4 linked regions of the Mus musculus genome follow. The protein of the gene in region 2 binds, or shares a complex with, the protein of the main gene of each other region. Links are inferred from orthologs where the notes say so. Each region holds a gene or a part of one and is shown on either strand. Other genes may lie near its edges.

Region 1 (4,295 bases), on a different chromosome or scaffold from region 2:
CCTCTCTCTCTCTCTCTCTCTCTCTCTCTCTCTCTCTCTCTCTCTCTCTCTCTCTCTCTTAATGGTCCTGAGGAACAATACCTGAAGTTGACCTCTGGCCTACCCATCATGCATGTGGGTCAGCAGCACATGGATCTCCTATGTGTGTATGCTAATACAAACACATGCATGTACATACAAACATAGAAAGGTATGATGTATTCCTCCTCCCTGCCAGCCATTTTATATACAGTCCAACCCTTGAATCAACTCTCTAAAGCTTGTTTCATTCTCTCTGGTTTACATATTGGAGCATCTACAGTCAGAAAAAAATGAATGATCCTTTGGTGACAACAATACAAAGTGACAGGGTTTAAGTCAGATTTAAATTGTAGCCCTGGTACTCTAACATCTGTGCTTTTCTATTCTATTGTTTGATGAGAAAAGCAAATCAGATAGTTTGTGAGGTTAGAATTCAACAAGATTGAGGGGGAAAACAAAAGCAAAAGATTTTTAGAAACTTAAAATGCAAAATACAGCTTCAATAATTGTATCATGAAAATGGCCTAACTCAAAATGTCAATAGGAAACAGCTCTCCATCTCTAGGGTACTTGAACAACCAATCAGAGTCATCAGTCCATTAAGGCTGGAAGACTGCTATGGAAGTCCCACTCACTGGCAATGGAGAGTGACTCACTAATTATTAAAATAATATGCAACGTCACCTAGACTTATTTTCTTTTCAGGTAATCTTAAAGAACAATGGGTACATTATCCACACCAGAGCACAACAAATATACATACAGTGTTTATTATTCATATTTAACAGGTGAGGAAGTAAGACACCCTCAGAGTCAGTTGCATAAGCCTAGGCCTGTGCTCATGGTAAGATCTTAGACAGCAAGATAAAAGAATGCAATGCAGTAAGGTAGGGGATTGTGCTGGTTTTATAAAGACAATGCCCTATCCAATGCAAGGAAATTATACCATAAGTGGTTGGTGAATATGGGAAAGCAATACCATCCTGTCCATCTTTTTCCCTTGGCCTACAAATGGCACAAACGAAGCTTTGAAAAGCAGAATCAAAAGTGAGAAAGCAACTAGCTTTAGTCTACCTAGTGGTCTATTAGTGCTACATTTCCATAGACCATTCGTTTGCTTGGTACTAACCAACCTCCCTTTAAAGTTGACTACTTAGGCGCACGTGCTCGAACACGTGAACACACACACACACACACACACACACACACACACACACACACAGCACTGGCTCCACATACACTGTGATCTAGCCCTTGGAGGGAGGGAGGGCGCCTCCAGGCAGATGAAAGTCCAACATTCTACCAGGGCTGAAGCAAGAGAGTTAGTTATCTGATGCTGTATCTGACCTGATACCCAGGGTTAACAGCCTCTGACCAATAGGGCCGCTATGATCTCTGTATTTTCACACTAGATCCAGCAGGAGAAGAGGCCTGTAGCCACCAAGGTTAGCAAGTGCACTAAGAACTGAATGAAGGTCTAGTTCAATTTCTGATGGAAGTGAAACACACAAGAGTTCTGACTAGATCCATTGACTAACACATACAGCCACAGATCTATGGTATTTAGTTGTAATGTTTTCCTAGAAACAGAAACCAACGCTTTTTTTTTTTCTTTCTTCTGAATATGTGGGAGCTGGACACAAATAATACCAGGGCAAGGGATGGTCAAAACTTTTATTCTTCACAAATTTTGACCATTTAATAGCTTTTGATTCATTTTACTGTTACAAAAAACATTGCACACTTCCTTTGGGGACTTCCAAGGCAAGAGCTCGAATAACAACTGGTAATGTAGAATTTGATAACTGAACTTCATGAGGGCACGTAATAAACCACAAAGAAAACAAAACCAACCAAATCAAACCAAACCAAGCCATAATATGCAGGCTCAGGAGCAGGAGTGAAACACACATAAAACCCTAGAAAAATATTTTGACGTTTAATCAATATAAAAACACCGGTATAGTATTATTATTTTTCTTTTTAGTGCTAAATGCTCAAACTCCGGTGTGTATTTTGCAGTCACTGCGTACTTCATTTCCAAGAGCAGTTTTTAGAGTTCCACAGCTCTTACCGCTAACAGCTAGCTAAAACAAAGCAAAGCCCACAAGCACTGTACCAACACACGTCGGGTTCAATAAACAGGGTTTTAGAGGTGGCCGTGATTGCAGGTTTTTGGAGAGTGGGAACACCTCGGGTGGGAGGAGAGGCAGGGCGAGTTGCAAAGTCTGACGCACGTCCAGGATGGTTTCTCCCTTGGATCAGGTTAGCCCAAGGACTTAAGGACTCGCCGCGGCGGAGCCGGCGCATCGCCATAGTGCGGCCGGTCTGTGGACCACCCAGCCCGCGTCTGTGTGGGGCCCCGCGCCGGCGCCCTACCTGTCGAGCAGCGGCGTGTGGATGTGTAGGTGCTTCACTGCCACCCGCACGCGCCAGTCTGCGTGTCGTGCCGACGAGACCGTGCCAGAGGCGCCCCGGCTGAGGTAGTGCAGGTCGGCGAGCTTGTGGTACGGGATGGGGGGTAGCGCGCTGCAGATGGCGTCCCCGTTCATGGCTCCGGCTGCGCGGCGGCTCCGCCCGACCCTGGCCGCGGCGCTAGGTCCCGGGGCGGCCCATTCCCGCGTGGCCGCTGCAGTTCCGGCCCGGTCAGCTGTGCCAGGGAGCCCGTCGGGTCTGCGGCCGCGCCGGGGTGGACCGTCCTCCTCCCTCCTCCTGGACTCGGCGGGCTCCTCCCTCCGCCGGCCCTCCCTGGGCGGGCTCCTACCTTCACCAACTCCTCAGCCCCTGCCTCCTACCCCTGGCTTCTCCCTCCGCCGGCTCCTCCCTCCGCCGGCTCCTCCCTCCGCCGGCTCCTCCCTCCGCCGGCTCCTCCCTCCGCGGTCTCCTCCCTCTGCCGGCTCCTCCCTCTGCAATCTCCTCTCTCTGTGAGCTCCTCCCTCTGCCAGCTCCTCCCTCCGCCGGCTCCTCCCTCTGCCAGCTCCTCCCTCCGCCGGCTCCGCCCTCCGCCGGCTCCTCCTTCTGCCAGCTCCTCCCTCCGTCGGCTCCGCCCTCCCCCAGCTCCTCCCTCCGCCGGCTCCTCCTCCGCCCGCTCTTCTGTCCTCTGGCTCCTCCTTCCGCCGGCCCCTCCCTCTGTAATCTCCCATCTTTGCGGGCTCCTCCCTCTGCCGGCTCCTCCCTCTGCAAGCTCCCCTCTCTGCGGGCTCCTCCCTCTGCCGGCTCCTCCCTCTGCAGATCATGGGCGTGTCTCAGAGGCCTCCCTCCCCCCACAAGCCGGGTGGACATCGCTGAGGCTTGGAAAAGATTTCCTCCGGGGAAAATCCCTCCGGAGTTCTCCAGTCTGGTGTCAGGTGGGTCGGCTGGATTTTCCTTTGGCCCGAGTGTCTTCCTTAGACTCCAAACCCTGGACGTGATAGGGTGTGGGGTGACTACTGCTGGGGAGCCTGGTGCCCCACTTCCTGAGCTGTAAACCATCTGGTTGCTTCCACTCCAGTCTTTACTCAGTGGCTGCCACTTGTGAGAAGTGAGGTAGAGAGGCTAGCGCTGTCAGTGTGACAAATTGAGGTGTTTAGCTTATATGACTTGCTCCCTTACCAGGAAACGGTTTCTTCTTTTATTCCTCAAAGCCTACTCACAAATAGAAATATAAAACCATTTCTTGTGTTTGGGAAGTCTTCCATCCAAAAAGAAAAACAAAGGCAAAAACAAACAAAACCAAACAACCAAAATCCAGCACTATTTCATCTTTTTACTGTAAACACCTTTCTACTTAGATAACTGTTCAGTACGATGTTTGGCGCAAATATCTCATATTTGTGAGCGATATAGTTCCACGATCCTACACGCACCAGGATACTACAATCTGTAATTGTCCCTTATATTATTAGTGTAATATATATAACACCGACATTTCCTTCCCTATACTCTAGTTCTTAATAGTTTTTTACAAGTCTACATTCTAAGATTATGTTTTCTTGGGCTGGAGTCATGGGTAAGCCGTTAAGAGGGCTTGTTCTTCCAGAGGATCTGAGGTTTGTTATCAGTACTCGAATCTAGTAGCTCACAGCTGCCTGCTCTCCAGCTCCAGGGAATCTGACCAACACTTCTGGCTTCTGCAGGCAACACACATACACATAAACAAAATACAAAAATATAAAAATATGTACTTACAATATAATGTGTATATATCTCAACTAAGAATATATATACGTATACATGCTGTATGTATGTATGTATATATACACACATATAGGGATTTTGTAAGTATATACATTTAA
Region 2 (3,556 bases):
TCCTATGTCATCCTCAGTGTGCCCCCTCTTACCTCTTGAAAGCAATATAGGCCACAAGGCCCACAACCACAGCAGCCAAGATGGAGCAATAGACAGGAATGAGGTTGTCAGCGGTGCCTCGGGTCACTACAGGCTGGGAGCTGCCCATCACAGTGGTCACCGTATCGGCCACTGTGCTGGCTATGAGGTCTCGCTCTGGAGGTGCCTCCGGCTCCTGGGTGCTGGGTGTTGTGACGTCAGAGCCCTCCGGGGGCGTAGACCTTGTGATCCATCGGCCAGGGATCTCTGAGGAACAGGGCCACAGGAGTTAGGACCTACCCAGGCCTTCCCCTTAGCTCCAGCTTTCCAGGGCTTCATCATGAGCCTCCAGGCACACAGGGCCAGGCTGTTACGCATGGGGGTGGAAGCTGGGACTGTGCACATGCAGTTTAGAAAAGAAGAGCAAGAGCTGTATGACAGGAGACTTCTATCAGTATGGGGCCTCGACTTCCCCATCTAGAGAATGGGCTTTCTGAAAAGAAATGGTCTTTAAACAACTTTTTGGCTTAGGCTGCAGAACCAGGATTCTAGTGTCTGCCAGCAGCCACGCATGAACACCAAGAAGCCTGCATGCTGTAGAGCATCTTTAAGCTGGAGCAATGACTTAATTGCTTTGAGGAATGGAATTGCTCTGACTTAGTGACCACAGCCTTCAGGAAGGATAGGGCACTTAGAGCTGATCAGAGGCCTGATCAGAGATGCTGCCCGGCAGGTGGCACTCAGCCCCTTCCTGTCTCAGATGCTCCAGGCCTAGGCTGGCACTAGATGTATAACTGGCTTACTTCACCCCCAGCCAGTCCTTGAACAGTGGCCAGCATGTTTCTTGTAACGCCTGACACCCCCCACTCCCAAAACAGCCTAGCCCTGGCATCTAGAGAAGAGTGGGTTAGACAGCTGGCACCCTCGTTAGCAGGAAGCAGACAGCTGGCGGAGGGAGGGCCTACGAACTAGACCCTGCCTCAGAAGGAGCAATTCTGTGCTTGGCCACCCATCTAGGCCCGCTCATGCCATTTGGACATTGCCAGCCTTCCTGGCAGAGGCTCCAGCCCCTCTTGGCACTAGTGGGTGGGATTTTCCATTCTGCCACCCAGCCAGAGGCAGGGCTAGGGGTTGTAGGCTCTGGATGGTGGCCTGGGGGATACTTGTCTGGGCAAAGCAGCCTGTCCTATCCATTCTCACTTCCCACGCAGGGAAAACAGGGAGGGAAAGCAGACAGGGTATGCTTGTAAGGTTAAGGGGAGGACACTTTGCTACCCAGCTCTGCCCCGCCCAGTCTACAGTGTGCCCACCCAAGCTGGAGTTAAAGCTGCCCACTAGTCCTCTGGGTCTCCCTGGCTCGGGACAGAGATGCTTCAAAGGCCCCATTTTCAGCACCTTCTGAGGGGTAAGGACCCCAGATGTGAGTCTGGAATCCATTTGACTGGCAGTGTGGGGAAGGTTGCCATCTGCTGCCCAGTCCCACCCCACCCCCATCCCAGTACCGGGCAGGGCTGGAAGGAGAGGGTGGGAAGTGGGAGAGACAGCCCTGTCTGGGCATTAGACCCTAGAGGACCTTCTTATGATCCGCTAGGGGAACAGGGAAGGTTGAAGGTGTAGCCTGAATCCAGAGGTTGCAGATGTGACTCAGTTTAGATTGACAGTCCTGCCCCCGAGGTTGATGTGGGTGGGTGAGCGATACAGAAATGAAGGAGCCTCAGAGAAGGGCTAAAGGCAGTGTCGAGTGTCCAGGACACCTCCCCTCACCCCCGCCCCCAGCCTCTCTGATAGGGTTGGAGACGAGATCCAGATGTGGGCCTGTCCTCTGACGTTCCAACCCGCTAAACACTTGGCAGGTCCTGACAGCCATTTCCGGAATGGGAGCTATCAGGAAGAAGAGGGAGCAGGTGACCCCTCCTAAACTTCAATGCGGTAAGGAGGCCGGGCGTCTGCCCCAAGGCTGGGTGAGTCACCATGTTGACACCTGAAATGTATATGCGGGCGAGTATTTAACATTGGACAAGAGTGGGCTGCCAACCCAAGAATCAAATTCCATTTCCTGAAAGGGATGTTTGGCCTCAGGGCCAACATTTAACCCTTCAGACGTTGGAACAGAAAGAACAATATAAGGATAAATGTTACTGGGGGGTCAGGGGGTGCCTTCTGCCAAGATGACTGAGAAAGAAGGATCGCGTCTGGGAAGAAATGATTCCTTGCAAGACGGAGCCTGCCCCTTTTCCAACCAGGTCCTCCCTCTCCTCTAATCACAACCCCGACCTTGTGCACCACCGGCTGATCTAGACTTGCCCACAGAACTGAGCTTCCTGCTTCCTGCTGCCTGACTGCCGAAGCTCTCTCCCCGCTCAGCTTAGCCTCTGAGGCCATTTGCCTGTCTTGACCCGTGGAAATCTCCACCACAGCCACCCTGGGGCCTCTGCCCCATCCCTCTCCACCTATTCATCAAAGAACTGCAAGCATGTTTAGGGCCTCTGTGTAGCTTGCCAGGCTTCTCTGCTCTACTACTAGAGCAAGCTCAAGTCTGGGTATGGAGGAGGCCCTGGCTGGTTGTCAGGACCCCTCCCCGGCCCAAGGACAGGGCATCTGTAGCTTCTATTCCACAAGAGGCCAATGGAAGGCAGAAACTGTGTTGCCTCCATCAGGATCGGGAATCTCCAAAGCTGCGGCTGTCTTCTCTCTCCAGGTCACCACGGGCTGGGGTACCATGCTCCTCTCATTGGACCTGTGTCAAAGGCCATTCCCTCTCCGGGAAAACTAGGGACGTCCCTGAAGGGGATGCTCTTGCCTGCTCAATGTGAGGGCAACCTGAGGTTCAAATTCAAAGACAAATAGATCCATGGGCAGGCCACCCGCTGATGAACAGAATGAAAACAAACAAACAAGCAACAAACCAATACCAGTTGACCCCTTGGAGAAGAACACTACCAGTGACCGTGGTGCCTATACCCTGGCTCTCAGCTGCCTCCTCCTGTCCCAGGATCTCTCTATCTCTTTCAGGTGAGTTATCTGGATAAGGCAGGCCCACAGCTTTCTCTTGTCTACAGCCCTCAGTAGAGGAGAGCCCTCCAAGCATGGCCCACATTATCGTACTTGCCATGCCCCCACTTGCCACACCTCTTTTGTTCCCTGGAACCACTTCCTTCATTATCTGGCCATTTTTTTTCAACCAACTCTGTCTCATTAAATGGCCACAATGCTACCTCATCTCCAGACACCGCGAGGAGAATGTGTCACTCACCCCAACAGCCTTATCGTGACCCTACGGCTACCAGAAAACACTTAGGTCCAGAGACGGGAGTAATCCCCTGGTGTCACTCGGGGCTAATTTGATTTGGGATGCTATAGCCATCATCACCACCCACATCTGGCCTCATAGCTGAAGGCCCCTCACTCCTGTGAGTCCCCAGCCTGACTCCAGAGCAGAAAGCCTGCTCTAGGCTGGAAGGAAGCCTGATTCAGACTCTGGCATCTATGGCGCCTTCCAGATGCTGTTTGTCACCCATATAATCGCTGAGAGAGGAGT
Region 3 (4,349 bases), about 25 Mb from region 2:
AAATAAATCAGGGAAATGCTGACTGGACTTTTAATGATCTTTGTGATTTTTTTCAAATGTGAATCACTGTATGTATGTAGCTAGACCGTATAAAAAATCTTTGGGCATGGGCAGGCTAAAAAGATGGCTCAGCAGTTCATAGAGCACTGGCTCCTCTTTGAGAGAGATCTTGGGTTTGATTCCCAGTACAGTACAGAACCCACTACTGTTCTAACTCCAGTTCCAGAGGATGCAATGCCCTCTTCTGACCTTTATGGGTACTGCACACAAGTGGTTCAGAGACTACTTCAAAATATTGATATGCATAAACATAAAAACGCAGCTTTGGAAGATTTGTACTTTGAGCGTCAAACCAGGGAATTGTGGGTGGCACAGAGCTCAATAAACCAGGCTCATCCAGTTGGAGGACCATGAGCCTCCTGAAAAGCCAGCTTGACACACTTCGTTGGGCACACCTGTGTGTAGGTGGAAGGCCAGCCAAATTCATCATACAGTAAGAGTGGGGATAGTCACGTGGCTTTTTGTTTTAGAATAGTTCTGCATAGAAGAGCAGCTACCTGGATGTAGGGTAATGATATTGCAAATCCATCTTCCTTAGAGATAAAAATAAATGAGCTTGAAAGAACACTTGGTTTGCTTCAGATTGATGTATAGCCAGAGGGTATGCGTGCTTGTGTAAAATAACTGGGCCACAACTGAAGATGGAGAGTGGAGGCCATTGGATTCCTCATCTTTTAAGTTTGATGACTCTCCGGAGCCAACAGCTGTTTCCTGGATACCACAGGGGCAGGTGTGGCCAACAGAGCAGGCCAGAAGCGATGGCTTTTGTGGGATTAAGCTATAGAAGTCCCCGTAGTGCCCCTTAAATTCCTGCCTCCCCTCAGTCTGAGGCTACACTCAGAAGAAGCCAACATGGAGTGCCCTCACGGAGTAGCAGGAACTGAGACTCCTCAGGAGGAACTGGAGTGGCTGGCACAAGCACACGACCGGGAACCCCCCCAGCCAGGCCCTCCACTAAGGAGGCTCCATCCTCAGCGTCGTGAAACACGCCTGGCGGTGATGGTGCACGCCTTCAATCTCAGCATCCTGGAGGCAGAGGCGGGCGCGTCTCAGGGATGAGGTTCAAGATAGGCAGGCAGCCCGTTCCAAGGAAAACCGCTCCTCACAGCAAAACCATACAACTTCTAACATACGGGGGCTCGGGGGGCACGCAGTCCCCAGAGCAATGCGCCAGGCAGCACAGCTACAGGGCACTGCGGTCGGTGAGGACTGTGGTTCTGTTGACTCTGAGGACAATGGGACAAGGGCCAGGCACGGCAATCAGGGAACCCTGGGAGCCACAGAATGGCCGCGCGACGCTGCTCTGGAAGAGCCGGCTCTCGTGTCCCACAAACCCTCGCACCCGGCATTCGGCAGAAGGCGCGAGGGCGCCGGCCCACGCGGGACGCGCCCACGAGGCCCGCAGCAAAATGGCGACGGCGCCGACCCGCGCCCCCTGGCGGCGCATGCGCAAGGCGACCCCGCCCGCGAGAGCGGAAGTCTTGTGACCCCGGAAGTGACCGTCCGAGCGGCGGGCGGCGGACGACGTTCGTCATTTGGTGCGGGAGGGAGCGCGAGAGCGGCGGTCGAGCCTCCGGTGAGTGGGCGCGTGGCGCAGCGCGGTGCAGTGCGGGAGGGGAGTGGGTTGGCTTTGTGCGGCGTCGCGGGCGACTGCGGCGCTCGCGGGCGGGGCGCGGTCACCCGGGCGGGCGGGCGGGGCGGGCCAGGGCGGCAGCGCAGGTCCTGCCGGAGGGGCCGCGGCCCCCCGGGCCTGCGCGCCTGCTACCAGGGGACCCCCTTCCTCGGCCTCGCGGGCGGGGTCCGGCGCGGGGCCTGGCCCGGGGCTCCCGCCGCGCGGCCCCGCCCCGCTCGGATTGCGGGCTCTACGGAAGTGCGGGCCGCGCCCTGATGCTGTCGCCGGCGGCCACGCTTGGCGTCGGGTGGGGTTGTCTGTAGCCTCCGGGTTTCGGACCGCCGCTTTATGTGTTTCCTTGGCGGACACCTCTCAGAGGGACAACGGCCGGGCTCTTCCCGGGACCGCTGCGCATTGCCTGTAGGCATCACAGTGGGTTTCCGAGAGACGTTTGGGAATCTGCGGAACTGAAAGGCATCTAGGCGCTTCCGTCCTGGTTGGTTCCTCACCGCCACTAAAGGTTTAGGGTCAGGGCCCAGAAACAGGCTCCTGAGATTTATTTGCAAGCGGTGCACTAGCTCCCAAGTTGCATACGCAGACCCTCACTAGAGAGGACAGACCTGCGTATTTAGGATCCCCTTTGGGCTCTTGGGATTTAAGCGGTCATCACATAGTTGAGCTTAGGACAGTATTCCATTGGAAGGGACGAACAAACAGACCCTTGTCCTGCACGTGGCTAACATACAGAGCATCTCCCTGTCGGAGAACTTACCTCCATGACCCAACCCAGTAAGATGAGAGCCTGGGCAGCTAGGGACAGCAACAGGACCCCAGGGATTTAGTGTTGCGTCTGCCAGTTCAGTTCGGTCTGGAGGCTTATTCTTAGTGGGGAGGAAAGGTGTTTTGCTTCTCTGAGGAACAGGCTGTGGTCCCATTTCGTTGCTTGGGGTTCTAGTCCTCTCAAATGGGCCTCTGCGTAGGGCAGTGGCAGCATCCTCTCAAAGTTCCAGTCAGGTGTCCTGCAGGTGTCAGGGTCTGCCTAGGGTGGAATGCCTCCAGGCTGTCACAGTCCTGCTCATGCCCCGCCCACAGGTGTCCCAAGCTAGAGGTAAGCATGGCAGAACAGGAACCCACTGCTGAGCAGCTTGCGCAGATAGCTGCAGAGAATGAGGAAGATGAGCACTCTGTGAACTACAAGCCTCCAGCCCAGAAGAGCATCCAGGAGATCCAGGAACTGGACAAGGACGATGAAAGCCTCCGAAAGTACAAGGAGGCCCTGCTGGGCCGAGTAGCTGTCTCTGCAGGTAGGTGGCTTGGAGGAAGGATGTCATCTAAACCTGTGCCCAGTCTCTTTCCAGACCACTCTTCCAAGGAGTGAGTTTAAAAAGAAAAATCTTAAGGGATGGGACTCTGACTCTTAACTCTCACTCTGCAGACCCCAACGTCCCCAATGTCATTGTGACTCGACTGACCTTGGTATGCAGCACTGCCCCAGGCCCTCTGGAACTGGACCTGACAGGTGAGTGGGTATTAGAATCCCTGGGTGGGGCCAGCTGGCATCTTGCCTCTACCCCTAAAAATAATTTTCTGCACTGATGCCCTCTGGTGGAGAAGAGGGGAAGTGCAGCTAGGGGCTTGCCGAAGCTCTGCTTTGTGTCAGGGAAGGGGCTGGGGAGAGTGAATGTAGCAGGGTGGAGAGCCCTTCAAGCAAGCAGTCAGCGGAGACTCCTCCTCAATACAGGTGATCTGGAGAGCTTCAAGAAACAGTCGTTTGTCTTGAAGGAAGGTGTGGAGTACCGGATAAAAATCTCTTTCCGGGTAAGGTGGGGGCTTTGAGAGGCCTGGAAACAAGGGGCAGAGGGGCAAGCCTGGGAAGGCAGCTGACCCTGGCTCTGTGTCCCCACAGGTGAACAGAGAGATCGTGTCCGGCATGAAGTACATCCAACACACATACAGGAAAGGGGTCAAAAGTGAGTGGGCGGGCCATAGAGTGGGGAGCCATTGGGCCTGGGAGGGGCGTGCAGCACCAGTAATCCTGCCTCTCCTGTCCCTCAGTTGACAAGACTGACTACATGGTCGGGAGCTATGGGCCGAGGGCCGAGGAGTATGAGTTCCTGACACCCATGGAGGAGGCTCCCAAAGGCATGCTTGCTCGGGGCAGTTACAACATCAAGTCGCGCTTCACAGATGACGACAAGACTGACCACCTGTCCTGGGAGTGGAATCTCACCATCAAAAAGGAGTGGAAGGACTGAGCTCCAGCTGGGAGACGGGCAGGGCGACGGACAGACAGAAGGACCGACATGCCCCACCCTAACCCCCTACCTACCCCAAACCAAAGTGCTGACAGGACCTCCCTCACCCGTCATTCCTCCCTAGTCCACTCAGGCAGTCAGCTCTCCTGTCTGCCCCTCCTCCACCTCCTGCCCGCAGGCCCCTGTGGTCTCCAGTGTCACATTGCTGCTTCTGCCTGTGCAGTGGGGGAGGGGTTCCAGCCCAGGCCTCCAATCTGCTGTGTCCCTCCAGGTTCCCTCTGTCTTCCCTTCCTCAGGCCCTGGCTTCTAGAATGGAACAGAACACTGTCAGGGTTGTCCAGCCCACCTTGTCTCTGTCGCAGCATGGGGAAGGGCTGGGCTATCTGTCCTCTAGTCCCACCACTCCCTGGCCAGGTCATCCA
Region 4 (4,237 bases), on a different chromosome or scaffold from region 2:
TTCTCTGTGTACTAGGCCCTGACTGGTCTGGATTCCCTTTACAGGAAGCTGGCCTCTGACTCACAGCGGTCTATCTGCAAGTGCTGCCACGCCCGCCTGAGGACAGGACATGCACTCACGGATCCAGCTATCTCGGACCATCCTTGACTGCTCAGTTATGCGCGCTAAGTCATCCTGCTTTGTGATTGGGCCCGTGTTCTCTTTGGCTATTCCTAAACAAATTCCCTAACTTTCCACATGAGACATGAGGGCCCCTCAACGCCAGGATCACTTCCATCCATCTCCTGTTAAAATCTTGCTTCCAAACCTCTAATAGAGAGTCAAGGTTAAGAAGAAAGCACCTGGGCAGGGCATAGCATAGACCTGGTGGAGGGAAATGATGAACTGTCCATGGCCCTATCTAGGTCTAAGCATGGGGACACGGGGTTTTTGTATGTTTTTGGTTGGTTGGTTTGTTGGGGTGTTTGTTTTCTGAGACAAGGTACCCCTGGCTGCCCTGGATCTCATTCTGTAGACCAGGCTATCCTCAGACTCAAGAGATCCACTGCCTCTTTCTCCCAAGTGCTGGGATTAAAGGCGTGCATCAACACTGCCCAGCTAAGGAACATAGATTTTTGAAACTCCTCTTCCATCAGAAAATTTAATACTAATATACATATATTTACTAAAACAGTCTGAAAATTATTGTCTATCTCTGGGCAGGTTGGGATGGTTTTAATTTTCTTTGTATTAAGCAATATCTCCTACTTTATATATAAGAGACATGTTTCTTATTCGGGAGGCAGAGGCAGGTGGATTTCTAAGTTCGAGGCCAGCCTGGTCTACAGAGTGAGTTCCAGGACAGCCAAAGCTACACAGAGAAACCCTGTCTCAAATAACAAGAATGAAAGAAAGAAAGAGAGAGAGAGAGAGAGAGAGAGAGAGAGAGAGAGAGAGAGAGAGAGAAAGGAAGGAAGGAAGGAAGGAAGGAAGGAAGGAAAGAAAGAAAGAAAGAAAGAAAGAAAGAAAGAAAGAAAGAAAGAAAGAGTCGCTGGGCGGTGGTGGCACACACCTTCTTTAATCCCAGCACTTGGGAGGCAGAGGAAGGTGGGTTTCTGAGTTTGAGGCTAGCCTGGTCTACAGAGTGAGTTCCAGGACAGCCAGGGCTACACAGACAAACCCTGTCTCAAAAAGGAAAAAAAAAAAAAGCAGAGGAGGTGGATTGTAAATGAAATATTCCTTTAATCCCAGTATTCGGGAGGCAGAGGCAGTCAAATCTCTGAGTTTGAGGGGGCAGCCTGGTCTACAGAGTAAGATCCTGGCTCAAAAAGCCAAAAAAGAAAAGGAGAGAACTTGAGGTGATGGCATCCTATCTGTAACCTCAGCCCTCAGGAACCAAGAGCAAGAACACCAGGAAGTTCTACAGGGCAGGGCTCCAGTGACTTCCGTACTTGGGATTGAACCCTGAGCCAGGTGTACGGTAGTTCTCAGCCACTGAGCCCCACCCCAGCCCATAAATGTCTTTAGTAAAAAGTAAGGCAAAAACATCACGATGTAACTCTTCAGCTACCGAGGTATAAAACAAGCAAGGACGTCTAAGAAGTAGCTCGTGATTCATGAAACATCTAGTTCACTTTCCTACCCTTCTATCCCATGGATGTGATCCCATCCCAAGGGGTAGGAGAAGATTTGGAACTGTACTGGTGTGTGTCGGGGTACTATCCACCAGGCCTGTCAGCACAAGTGCGGTAGAGCTGGAGATGGCAGAGTAATCGATATGTAAATTCACTAGTACTGGGCAAATAGGGGAAATAGCCGCCTTGGAGTTCGCGGAGTTGGAGAAGTGAGGTTAATAGAACAGACAAGATGGAGGGAACTGGTTTCTCACTGTCCCCTTAGGAATCCTTCCCTCAGCAGATAAGAGCACTGACTGCTCTTCAGAGGTCCTGAATTCTCAGCATCCACATGATGGCTCACGACCATTTGTAATGGGAACCGATGCCCTCTTCTGGTGCATCTGAATCTCGTGTGTGTGTGTGTGTGTGTGTGTGTGTGTGTGTGTGTGTGTGTGTGTGTGTCTTTTAAAAAAAAAAATTCGTTTCCAAACCGAGTGGTGGTGGTGCACCCCTTTAATCCCAGCACTCAGGAAGCAGAGACAGGCAGATCTCTGTGAGTTCGAGGCCAGCCTGGCACTACAGAGTGCGTTCCAGGACAGCCAGGGGTACACAGAGAAACCCCGTCTCGGAAAACCAAAATGAAAAAAGAATCCTTCTCAGGCCTCCTTCCACCAGGAGGCTTCTACGCTGGGTTCCAGAACAAATGACTCTACCCAGATGTCCGGTCTCATTAACAAATAACAGTCCCCAGGTAGCCCCACTTCTGGCTAGGTGGAAGGGCTTGGCTCCCAACTCAAAGAAAGTTTGAGATTCCCAGACCATCAGAACACGCCCCCTGCTCGGGTGCGCAGTAAGCGACCTGGCCTAGGAAGGTTCCCAGTCTGCCCACTACCCCACCTTCAAACTGGGGGTTCGCGCACGACTGGGCTCAGACAGGAAGAGGGTTCTCAGAACCGTTCCCGGCCAGCCCTGCAGCCATATCCCCTCCTCCGCAGGGCCCTGACACCCACCAGAAACCCTTAGTTGGGACAAAAAACCAGAGAAGGTGGAGGTCCGAAGTCCCTCGTACCTCCCACCAAAACAGTCCGACCGGCCGCTGCCACTAACTGGCCAGCAATCGCGTGTCACCACCGCGCGGTGCTCGCCCTCGGGAAGCCAGATCTCTCGCTTTGCTGGGGCTGCACCGAGGGAGCCCACCCACCCTCCGCACTAACCTGGCCGCCGCACACTCGCCTGGCTCTGCTGCGCGCGGCTTCCGGGTGTGCGCGGAGACGCAGGGGCGGTGCCCTAGCAGAGTCGCCGGGTCCGCCCGCGCGTCCCGCCTTCTCCGCCCAGGGCCTCTCCTTCCTGCCCTAGCTGTCCTCCGTGGCCAGTCCCCTGTCTCCGGGTAAAGCCCACCTAGTCCGCTGAGCAGGTAAGATAACGGACACCCAAGTTTAGATGGCAGGACGAACTGCCCACTGGACATAGCAGTTTGGGGGTTTTGAAGCCGAAAGGGCTTCAGAGTGAGAGCCGCCAAATTTAAGTTAGTTCCTGGGGTTCAATCAGAGGGCATCTCCTGGAGATGAGAATTTTTTCTGGCGCCCCCTAGGAAATCTGGTTTGATGATCTAATCTCTGCTAGTCTTTAACACAGAAAATGGGGTGCTGTGGTTCCAGGACAAGCCTAGCTTGGAGTATCCGGGAACTCTAGTGTATACTTGAGGTAAATTCCACGAGAGACCATACACCTGGAAGACATGGGGAAATGAAACGGCAAGTGTGAACCTTTACAAAAACCTTACAGCACTTTGAAGCAAAACTGGCAGCTTCAGAGAAAACGCAGATTCCGATCCCACCCCTCTCGTAAAAGCCAAGCTCTGGGGTGTGTCTGCAGGGTTCCACCCGAGTCTTTATTAGCTAGCAGGAACCAAGGCTCCGCGAGGGTCAGGGTCCTAACTTGAACAACAGCTCCTCAAGGGTGCCAGAGCGGTCCGGCCCCAGACAGAGCCACAAGCTTTTTACCACAGGTCTGTCACAGAAAGCATGCAGGAAGTCAGTCCGTTACTAGGGGGTGGAGGCAGTGTAAAGGTGACTCCCCTTCTGGGACGCCCATCACTTCCTGATTGGCCTGTGATTTCAGACAAAAAGAAACAAACAAAAAATATTCTCTAAGACTGGTGCCTGATTAGCCCCAACAGTCAGTTTCTAGTGGACAGGATTCCTCAACTTGAAACCTATTTCTCATTTGTTCAACACACGAGAAAGTAGTTTGAAGAGCCAGTGAGGGCCAGGCTTGGTGACACACACCTTTAGTCATAGCTTTCCCAGGCAGAGGCAGGAGGATCTCTGTGAGTTCAAGGCCAGCCTGGTCTACATAGGGAGTTCCAGGCCAGCCAAGGCTAGACAGTGAGACCCTATTTTTTAAAAAAGAAAGAAAAACCAAACCACTGAGGCAGGAGTATTCTCAAGTTCAATACCAGCCAGGGCCACACAGCAGAGATGAGAAAAGAGAAAAAAAAGAGAGGGTAGATAGGAAAGTGTGTGTGTGTGTGTGTGTGCGTGTGTGTATGTATGTGTGTGTGTGTAGGCACAACCACTGGAACTATACCTTTAAGCCTTTAGGGAGATTTACTATTCTGAGCAGAGACTTCTGTTTAAAAA

What was found.
Region 1: the proteins of Ngfr (region 2) and Ripk2 are in contact, whole or in part, in an NMR structure (PDB 2N83), measured with the Homo sapiens proteins. The link is inferred for Mus musculus from reciprocal best matches to the Homo sapiens genes NGFR and RIPK2. Residues at the interface, in NP_002498.1 of Homo sapiens: Gly334, Leu335, Ser338, Leu339, Pro340, Lys343, Val347, Ser354, Ala355, Asp357, Arg360, His361, Gly364, Glu365, Tyr368, Pro370, Ile373, Asp374, Leu398, Asp399, Leu401, Leu402, Arg406, Arg407, Ile408, Gln409, Arg410, Ala411, Asp412, Val414; in NP_003812.1 of Homo sapiens: Gln437, Ser465, Arg466, Asp467, Leu468, Met470, Glu472, Asp495, Ile496, Gln497, Gly498, Glu499, Glu500, Lys503, Ile523, Leu524, Val526, Ser527, Arg528, Ser529, Pro530, Ser531, Leu532, Asn533, Leu534, Gln536.
Region 3: the proteins of Ngfr (region 2) and Arhgdia are in contact, whole or in part, in an NMR structure (PDB 8X8T), measured with the Homo sapiens proteins. The link is inferred for Mus musculus from reciprocal best matches to the Homo sapiens genes NGFR and ARHGDIA. Residues at the interface, in NP_002498.1 of Homo sapiens: Arg274, Trp275, Ser277, Cys278, Lys279, Gln280, Lys282, Gln283, Gly284, Ala285, Ser287, Arg288, Pro289, Val290, Asn291, Gln292, Thr293, Pro294, Pro295, Pro296, Glu299, Lys300, Leu301, Ile307, Ser308, Val309, Gln312, Ser313, Asp316, Gln317; in NP_001172006.1 of Homo sapiens: Ala8, Glu9, Leu11, Ala12, Gln13, Ile14, Ala15, Ala16, Glu17, Asn18, Glu19, Glu20, Asp21, Glu22, Val25, Pro30, Ala31, Gln32, Lys33, Ile35, Gln36, Glu37, Ile38, Gln39, Glu40, Leu41, Asp42, Lys43, Asp44, Asp45.
Region 4: the proteins of Ngfr (region 2) and Tradd are in contact, whole or in part, in an NMR structure (PDB 7CSQ), measured with the Homo sapiens proteins. The link is inferred for Mus musculus from reciprocal best matches to the Homo sapiens genes NGFR and TRADD. Residues at the interface, in NP_002498.1 of Homo sapiens: Glu345, Glu346, Glu348, Lys349, Leu350, Asn352, Gly353, Ser354, Ala355, Glu379, Ala380, Cys381, Arg384, Glu420; in NP_001310481.1 of Homo sapiens: Thr201, Phe202, Asn211, Ala275, Glu276, Arg278, Arg279, Thr281, Gln283, Arg284, Glu287.

The regions. Positions count from the first base shown.
Region 1 is NC_000070.6:16,160,824-16,165,118, forward strand, and holds the start of Ripk2 (receptor-interacting serine/threonine-protein kinase 2), read right to left. Parts: upstream 2,821-4,295; 5' UTR 2,574-2,820; coding exon 2,401-2,573; intron 1-2,400.
Region 2 is NC_000077.6:95,574,159-95,577,714, forward strand, and holds part of Ngfr (tumor necrosis factor receptor superfamily member 16 precursor), read right to left. Parts: intron 286-3,556; coding exon 33-285; intron 1-32. UniProt on the Homo sapiens protein: Low affinity receptor which can bind to NGF, BDNF, NTF3, and NTF4. Forms a heterodimeric receptor with SORCS2 that binds the precursor forms of NGF, BDNF and NTF3 with high affinity, and has much lower affinity for mature NGF and BDNF.
Region 3 is NC_000077.6:120,578,809-120,583,157, reverse strand, and holds the start of Arhgdia (rho GDP-dissociation inhibitor 1), read left to right. Parts: upstream 1-1,533; 5' UTR 1,534-1,636; intron 1,637-1,910; exon of another isoform or gene 1,911-2,168; intron 2,169-2,764; 5' UTR 2,765-2,786; coding exon 2,787-2,976; intron 2,977-3,107; coding exon 3,108-3,191; intron 3,192-3,413; coding exon 3,414-3,490; intron 3,491-3,578; coding exon 3,579-3,642; intron 3,643-3,727; coding exon 3,728-3,927; 3' UTR 3,928-4,349. UniProt on the Homo sapiens protein: Controls Rho proteins homeostasis. Regulates the GDP/GTP exchange reaction of the Rho proteins by inhibiting the dissociation of GDP from them, and the subsequent binding of GTP to them.
Region 4 is NC_000074.6:105,261,752-105,265,988, forward strand, and holds the start of Tradd (tumor necrosis factor receptor type 1-associated DEATH domain protein), read right to left. Parts: upstream 2,844-4,237; 5' UTR 2,810-2,843; intron 1-2,809. UniProt on the Homo sapiens protein: Adapter molecule for TNFRSF1A/TNFR1 that specifically associates with the cytoplasmic domain of activated TNFRSF1A/TNFR1 mediating its interaction with FADD.